Linked DNA regions of Xenopus tropicalis. The protein of the gene in region 1 purifies or fractionates together with the protein of each later gene. This does not show direct contact. Links are inferred from orthologs where the notes say so. Each region holds a gene or a part of one and is shown in the gene's direction. Other genes may lie near its edges.

Evidence for each region.
Region 2: the proteins of plekhm1 (region 1) and vps41 purify together in Homo sapiens (affinity purification with western blotting; 4 studies listed by BioGRID and IntAct, with this or other methods). This does not show direct contact. The link is inferred for Xenopus tropicalis from reciprocal best matches to the Homo sapiens genes PLEKHM1 and VPS41.

Annotation. Positions count from the first base shown.
Region 1 is NC_030686.2:37,758,867-37,763,218, forward strand, and holds the start of plekhm1 (pleckstrin homology domain-containing family M member 1), read left to right. Parts: upstream 1-1,446; 5' UTR 1,447-1,626; intron 1,627-4,352. UniProt on the Homo sapiens protein: Acts as a multivalent adapter protein that regulates Rab7-dependent and HOPS complex-dependent fusion events in the endolysosomal system and couples autophagic and the endocytic trafficking pathways.
Region 2 is NC_030679.2:130,755,826-130,759,645, forward strand, and holds part of vps41 (vacuolar protein sorting-associated protein 41 homolog), read left to right. Parts: intron 1-26; coding exon 27-83; intron 84-1,827; coding exon 1,828-1,889; intron 1,890-2,284; coding exon 2,285-2,366; intron 2,367-3,297; coding exon 3,298-3,390; intron 3,391-3,820. UniProt on the Homo sapiens protein: Plays a role in vesicle-mediated protein trafficking to lysosomal compartments including the endocytic membrane transport and autophagic pathways. Acts as a component of the HOPS endosomal tethering complex.

The DNA of each region.
Region 1 (4,352 bases):
ATGAATAGCTTGGAAAAAAATAATTTATTTAAATTGTGAAAGAACTCACAACACTGAGTAATTTTACAACTGGTATAGGGTTTTCTGGAATGTCATTGGCTAAATGGAATCTGATGGAGATTGGTGGCAAGATTTCCCCACTGCAGAGGTTGGAAACTTGGGTAAAAGGTGTACCTGAGTGTAGCCAGCTTTAGGGTCTTAAAGGAACAGTAACACCAAAAAATGAAAGTTTTTTTTCAAGTAATTAAAATAAAATGGACTGTTGCCCTGCACTGGTAAAAGCTGTGTGTTTGCTTCAGTAACACTAATATAGTTTATATAAATAAGCTGCTGTGTAGCCATGGGGGCAGCCATTCAAGCTGGAAAAAAGGAGAAAAGGCACAGGTTACATAGCAGATAACAGATAACCTCTGTAGAATACAATGGTGTTTTATCTTTTCTTCTTTGAATGGCTGCCCTGTGGCTACACAGCAGCTTTGTTTATATACATTTCTGAGGCAGTTGTACCAGTGCGGGGCAACAGTACATTATACTGTAATTACTTCTATACACTTTCATTTTTAGGTGTTACTGTTCCTTTAATCTTATGAGTAGGATCTTGTCAGGAGTCTGATTGTCGGGTTCACAGATACCACGTCACTGGGTGCTGTGCTCATGGGTGCTGTGCTCACTTCCTTCCTGGCATTAATATGAATATGCCAATTACTTACTAATTAGTCCTTACAGTCACTGGAAATGTAATGAGCTGGCCCTGACACATTGAAGGTATTAACTCTTTAGGAAAGGGAACAGTATGTACAAGGAGGGTAAATCAGAAGATGAAATGTTCAATTTTGATGGACCAACTGTGGGACAGTGTGGCTTGAAATCAACCAGATCAGCAGACCCAATGTGGGTATCACGTCTGTTTAGTTTTGCCCCATAGAAACTGGTTGCTATGGGTTAGACCTATAGGGGAATATTTATTGTGCTGTATAAAAAGTGGAGTAAAACATAAATGGTGATGTTGCTTATAGCAGCCAATCAGATGCTGTTGAAATCTAATTGCTGATTGGTTGTCCTGGGCAACATCACCAGTAATGCTTGACAGCATCATAAATATACCCCATAGTGAACTACTTTACAAAGCACAGAAGAAACAGTTTTCAGCCAGATGTAGAGTCTTTAAACCTAGTGTGTTCTTTACTTGAATCTAATATATATTTATTTTATATTAATTTTAATTATGTTATTTTAATTTTATATATATTTGTTTATTAATATTTATTAAACTACTTCTACTACTACTACGCCCTAACCCAGCCTAAAAATAATCAACTCCCCGCACCGTTCCAGAGTTGTCTCAGTTTAATCCCCCGATAAACGGCATGAACACAGCACAACAGAAGCTAGTAGCGCCGTACGGCCACTCTCCCAGAAGCAGGCCCATCCCACGCCCCGCCCACAGTGTTGCGTCCCTCTCTGGGCCCCGCCTCCCATGAACGTCAAGTGGAATGGAGTTCACGTGACCGGAAACGAAGTGTCCCCTGAAGAGAAAGAGCAGCAGCGGTAGGGGCAGGAGGAGCAGGAGGTGCGAGTGTTGGCTGCGCTGTTTGCTCGGGCACCTGGAGTCTTCTATCCGCACAGGTAACCAGCAGCATTGCGCCAATTTACTGAGTGTCGCTAGCGTATCTCACTCTAATGCAACCCCTGTGCTGATACTTCTTACTGTGCTGCCTACCTACCTGCCTCTTCTGGGTACCCACTGGCACCTCTCATTGTACCCAGGCAGGGGCAATAACCTGCCTCTTCCTTGTGTCGGGGGGACCCACCTGCCCCTTGCTTGTAACTGGGGAGCGTCCACTTGCTCCTTTCTTGTGACTGGGGGGCACCCACCTGCCCCTTGGTTGTAACTGGGCTGGCACCCACCTGCCCCTTGCTTGTAACTGGGGAGCGTCCACTTGCTCCTTTCTTGTGACTGGGGGGCACCCACCTGCCCCTTGGTTGTGACTGGGTGGCACCCACCTGCCCCTTGGTTGTAACTGGGCTGGCACCCACCTGCCCCTTGCTTGTAACTGGGGAGCGTCCACTTGCTCCTTTCTTGTGACTGGGGGGCACCCACCTGCCCCTTGGTTGTGACTGGGGGGCACCCACCTGCCCCTTGGTTGTGACTGGGGGGCACCCACCTGCCCCTTGGTTGTAACTGGGCTGGCACCCACCTGCCCCTTGGTTGTGACTGGGTGGCACCCACCTGCCCCTTGGTTGTAACTGGGCTGGCACCCACCTGCTCCTTGGTTGTAACTGGGCTGGCACCCACCTGCCCCTTGGTTGTAACTGGGCTGGCACCCACCTGCCCCTTGGTTGTGACTGGGTGGCACCCACCTGCCCCTTGGTTGTAACTGGGCTGGCACCCACCTGCCCCTTGCTTGTAACTGGGGAGCGTCCACTTGCTCCTTTCTTGTGACTGGGGGGCACCCACCTGCCCCTTGGTTGTGACTGGGGGGCACCCACCTGCCCCTTGGTTGTGACTGGGGGGCACCCACCTGCCCCTTGGTTGTGACTGGGGGGCACCCACCTGCCCCTTGGTTGTGACTGGGGGGCACCCACCTGCCCCTTGGTTGTAACTGGGCTGGCACCCACCTGCCCCTTGGTTGTGACTGGGTGGCACCCACCTGCCCCTTGGTTGTAACTGGGCTGGCACCCACCTGCTCCTTGGTTGTAACTGGGCTGGCACCCACCTGCCCCTTGGTTGTAACTGGGCTGGCACCCACCTGCCCCTTGGTTGTGACTGGGTGGCACCCACCTGCCCCTTGGTTGTAACTGGGCTGGCACCCACCTGCCCCTTGCTTGTAACTGGGGAGCGTCCACTTGCTCCTTTCTTGTGACTGGGGGGCACCCACCTGCCCCTTGGTTGTGACTGGGGGGCACCCACCTGCCCCTTGGTTGTGACTGGGGGGCACCCACCTGCCCCTTGGTTGTGACTGGGGGGCACCCACCTGCCCCTTGGTTGTAACTGGGCTGGCACCCACCTGCCCCTTGGTTGTGACTGGGTGGCACCCACCTGCCCCTTGGTTGTAACTGGGCTGGCACCCACCTGCTCCTTGGTTGTAACTGGGCTGGCACCCACCTGCCCCTTGGTTGTAACTGGGCTGGCACCCACCTGCCCCTTGGTTGTGACTGGGTGGCACCCACCTGCCCCTTGGTTGTAACTGGGCTGGCACCCACCTGCCCCTTGGTTGTAACTGGGCTGGCACCCACCTGCCCCTTGGTTGTGACTGGGCTGGCACCCACCTGCCCCTTGGTTGTGACTGGGCTGGCACCCACCTGCCCCTTGGTTGTGACTGGGTGGCACCCACCTGCCCCTTGGTTGTGACTGGGTGGCACCCACCTGCCCCTTGGTTGTAACTGGGCTGGCACCCACCTGCCCCTTGGTTGTAACTGGGCTGGCACCCACCTGCCCCTTGGTTGTGACTGGGCTGGCACCCACCTGCCCCTTGGTTGTGACTGGGCTGGCACCCACCTGCCCCTTGGTTGTGACTGGGTGGCACCCACCTGCCCCTTGGTTGTAACTGGGCTGGCACCCACCTGCTCCTTGGTTGTAACTGGGCTGGCACCCACCTGCCCCTTGGTTGTAACTGGGCTGGCACCCACCTGCCCCTTGGTTGTGACTGGGTGGCACCCACCTGCCCCTTGGTTGTAACTGGGCTGGCACCCACCTGCCCCTTGGTTGTAACTGGGCTGGCACCCACCTGCCCCTTGGTTGTGACTGGGCTGGCACCCACCTGCCCCTTGGTTGTGACTGGGGGGCACCCACCTGCCCCTTGGTTGCGACTGGGTGGCACCCACCTGCCCCTTGGTTGCGACTGGGTGGCACCCACCTTCCCCTTGGTTGCGACTGGGGGGCACCCACCTGCCCCTTGGTTGCGACTGGGTGGCACCCACCTTCCCCTTGGTTGCGACTGGGTGGCACCCACCTGCCCCTTGGTTGCGACTGGGTGGCACCCACCTGCCCCTTGGTTGCGACTGGGTGGCACCCACCTGCCCCTTGGTTGCGACTGGGTGGCACCCACCTGCCCCTTGGTTGCGACTGGGTGGCACCCACCTGCCCCTTGGTTGCGACTGGGGGGCACCCACCTGCCCCTTGGTTGCGACTGGGGGGCACCCACCTGCCCCTTGGTTGCGACTGGGGGGCACCCACCTGCCCCTTGGTTGCGACTGGGGGGCACCCACCTGCCCCTTGGTTGCGACTGGGGGGCACCCACCTGCCCCTTGGTTGCGACTGGGGGGCACCCACCTGCCCCTTGGTTGCGACTGGGGGGCACCCACCTGCCCCTTGGTTGCGACTGGGGGGCACCCACCTGCCCCTTGGTTGC
Region 2 (3,820 bases), on another chromosome or scaffold:
TTATTCCTTTTTCTTTCCACATTTAGGAAGCTCTTATGGCAGCTGAAATTAGTCAGAAGAACATAAAGCGGCATGATGTCTTGGTAAGTTACGCAACTTACATTATTTCCCTTAATATTCTATTAATATTTATCAAGTATTTCTGATTTCCTTTACAAATAAAGTGCTTATTATTTTTGGTGAGTTTTCAAAATGATTCTCTGCTGGGGAAAAATCCACTGCTTATATGAGATACAGATCTCTCCATGGAACAGGCCAGATAGAAGAACAGAAAGAAAGCAAATATGGGATTCTTAGAAAATAGATTTACTCTTGCAAGCTCAGAATTTTCTTATTAAGCTTTATTAGTTGTTTTCCATAACTGCACCAAAATATTACACAGTGTTTTTAGGAATAACATTTATAATTAGTGGGGTAACCAAAGCACTACTTTTAGTGAACGTTTTTCTGTTCATTTAAAGTAAGGAAGGAGGTATATGGACACATGCCCAGATAAGCTGTGGAGAAGTTGTTACAATTTGCAACATCAGTGTTTAGTCCCTCCTCCCCTGCCTGGATTTCAAATGAACGGTTTTGCAGCTGGATTCCAACTAGGGATGCACCGAACACAGGTTTTTGGGTTCGGCCGAATACAGAACCAAATCCGAATCCTAATTAGCATATTTCCGGGAGTGAAATTTCTTTCACTTCTGTGTTCGCACGGACATTTAACCCTAATTATGCTAATTAGGATTCGGTTCGGCCAGGATTCAGCCAAATTCAGCCAAATCAGAACCCTGCCAAAAAAGGCCAAATCCTGGCCAAATCCCGAACCGAATCCTGGATTCGGTGCATCCCTAATTCCAACATATAAAAATTATATTTATTTGTACTTTTTGAAGGAACAGATTACACTGATAGGTATATTAGGGGTTTCTGTGTTGTATGTTTTAGGTTGGAAGCTTGAGTTCCTCTTTTATTAGCATCAATACGGTGAAGGAACCAATCAGAACTAACACAATAAAAACCAATCCAATGCTGACAAGTAAATGCTAATTGCTGATTAGTTGCTATGGGTTACTAGATCCAGGAAAATGTTACACCTTTTATTACAATAATTTCAAATGAGAATAGACATAAAGATACCAAACAAGCAGATCTTTGTCTGATTTGGCCATCAATGTGCTGGGCTAAGTCAGACTGATCTGATCATTCAGCTACTGGGCCAATGATCGGATCATAAAAAAGCCCTATGCAGGTCTGTCGGGAGAGGACTACACCCACACACTGATTTGCTTGTCTCCCAGTACAGCACCTCTCCACTGGACTTCTTTACCTTTATACAAGGATTTAAGCTAAATAGTTTCAGCAGCACAGGGATTGGTAAAGCACCAGGCACAAAATGTGAAGGAAACCTCGGGAGAGACATAGAAAGAGGTGGTACTTGTAAAACAAATGGTTTGGTCTGTGGTAGAAAGGAGATGGTTGGAGGCTCATGTGAAAGAAGCCTTAAGTTGCTGTACTCTGCTGGCTCTCTTAGTAGACGTCTTATTGGGTGGTGGGGTTTGCCAAGATCTTCTAGGGGTCCTTAGAGTGTTTTTTCTCCAAGTACATAAGAGTAACACAACAGTCCAGTTTATATATATATATATATATATATATATATATATATAATGTATTATTCTTGAGACTACAATTTAAACATTGACAATTTTCATGGTTGCATCTTTGTGTGGACACATGTATGTATGTATGTATATCTTTATTTATAAAGCGCTACTTATGTACACAGCGCTGTACAGTAGAATACTGTACATCTGTTTGCAGATGTTAATATTTCTTTTTTAGGATATTGGATTATCGTACATAACTCATTTGGTGGAAAAACGAGATTATGACATGGCAGCAAGGTAACTGCATGACTACTTGCCTGGGTTTATTAAAGGAGAAGGAAAGGTAAAAACTAAGTAAGCTTTATCAGAAAGGTCTATGTAAATACAGCCATAAGCACTCACAGAAACACTGCACTGAGTCCTCTATCAAAAGAAACACATGATTGATTGTCTCCTGTTTTCCTGTGCCAGAGTCTGGCACTTTGACTCATTCAGTTGTATTTGTAAAGTACATATGTATAGGCCATCAACTTAATACTAGTACTAAAATGTTTCCAATCGGAGTGCAGCCTTTATTACCCCGCACATCTGGTGGGGGAAGCAATATCCTTAAATTACTCTTAAAAGGGGAAGATATATAGTGAAATCTAACACATAAATGAGTTTCTTATGAATGAGATTTTTTTTTTCAGAAAATGTCAGAAAATACTTGGCAAAAATATGAAACTCTGGGAAGATGAAGTCTATCGGTTCAAGAAAATAGGGCAACTTAAGGTAATGTTTAAAACATGTATGTAGTACAGGTGTTGGATCTTTTATCTGGAAACCTGTTATGCAGAAAGCACTGGAATGCCATCTCCCATAGACTCCATTTTAATAAAATAATCGAGTCGCTGCTGTCATGATTCAGTTACCGGGGGCAGCAAAAAGTCGTTTCTGGTAACTTAAAGAGCCGAAATTCCGATTTTAAATCAGAATTTTGGCTCTTCTAGTGCAGCGAGCGCTATAGGGTAAATTAACTCCCTCATGTTTCATCCAGTTTCAAGTGAAACTTAAACACATTATCGTTTTCCAAGAATGAGCACCAATGCTCCTAAAATGGCTGCTGGAGCAATTCCTGTGTGGGAAATATAAAGAGGATTAATGGAAACGAATGTTAGTTTAAACTCAAATTTTTTCAAGTTTTAACGACACGGCTCTCGGCTTAAAAAATTCGGGATTTCCAAATATAAACTCGAAAATTTTATACAAATGATTCAAGTATTACCGTGACATTTTTATGAATATAACAATAAACGAGTTTAATTCAAATTTATACCATGTCAAGTTTATATGATTTTCATTCATCCAGGTCACAATATAAAGTATCTAGTAGAATTAAGTCTAAAACAACTGGACTTTTTCTGAGTTTTTTCTTGAAAACCTTTCACCACTCATCCGAGTGGCTTCTTCAGTTCAAATGGTTTAAATGCCGGGGAATTCCTTACCAGTCATTTGAACTGAAGAAGCCACTCTGATGAGTGGTGAAAGTTTTCAAGAAAAAGTAAATCTGGGAAAAAACGAAACATAAAAAAAAAAAAAAAATCAAACTTTTCTCAGAGAACCTAAGTAAATGGGCCCCTTACTGTCTCTTATTACCATACTTTTGGGGGGTTAGTGTGTTAGTGTATTGCAGCTAAAAATGAAATGTATCTCTGTCTTGCAGGCAATAAGCAAGTATCTGCCCAGGGGAGATTTACGTCTGAGACCTGCAATTTATGAAATGATCTTGGATGAGTTTTTGAAAACAGATTATGAGGTATTGTGTTCATTTTAATACAATATTATGCACATTTATTGCCCATGATTCAAGGCACACAAAAGTTCTGAATGCAAATGGAGCTGTAACTATTGTATCTCTTTAGAATATTACATCATCTTTAAAGGGAGTAATATAAAACAGTTTCACTACCCAACACTACTTCTACATAGCCAGCCATAGACCTCTCAATTTTTTTTAAAAGTTAAGTACCTAGTGTGAAATGCACCAAGGCATGTCATATAACAACTCCAAAAATATACATTTATAATACACAAGAACCATGAATATCCTGTAAATAATATCCTTATAACCGGTACTTAGTGATGTCATCAGTTATAATTGGTACTTAGTGATGTCATTTCTGCCACATGACTCACTGAAAGTTGTATATTATAATAAAGTCCCCCCTGTGAAAAATATGAGGATA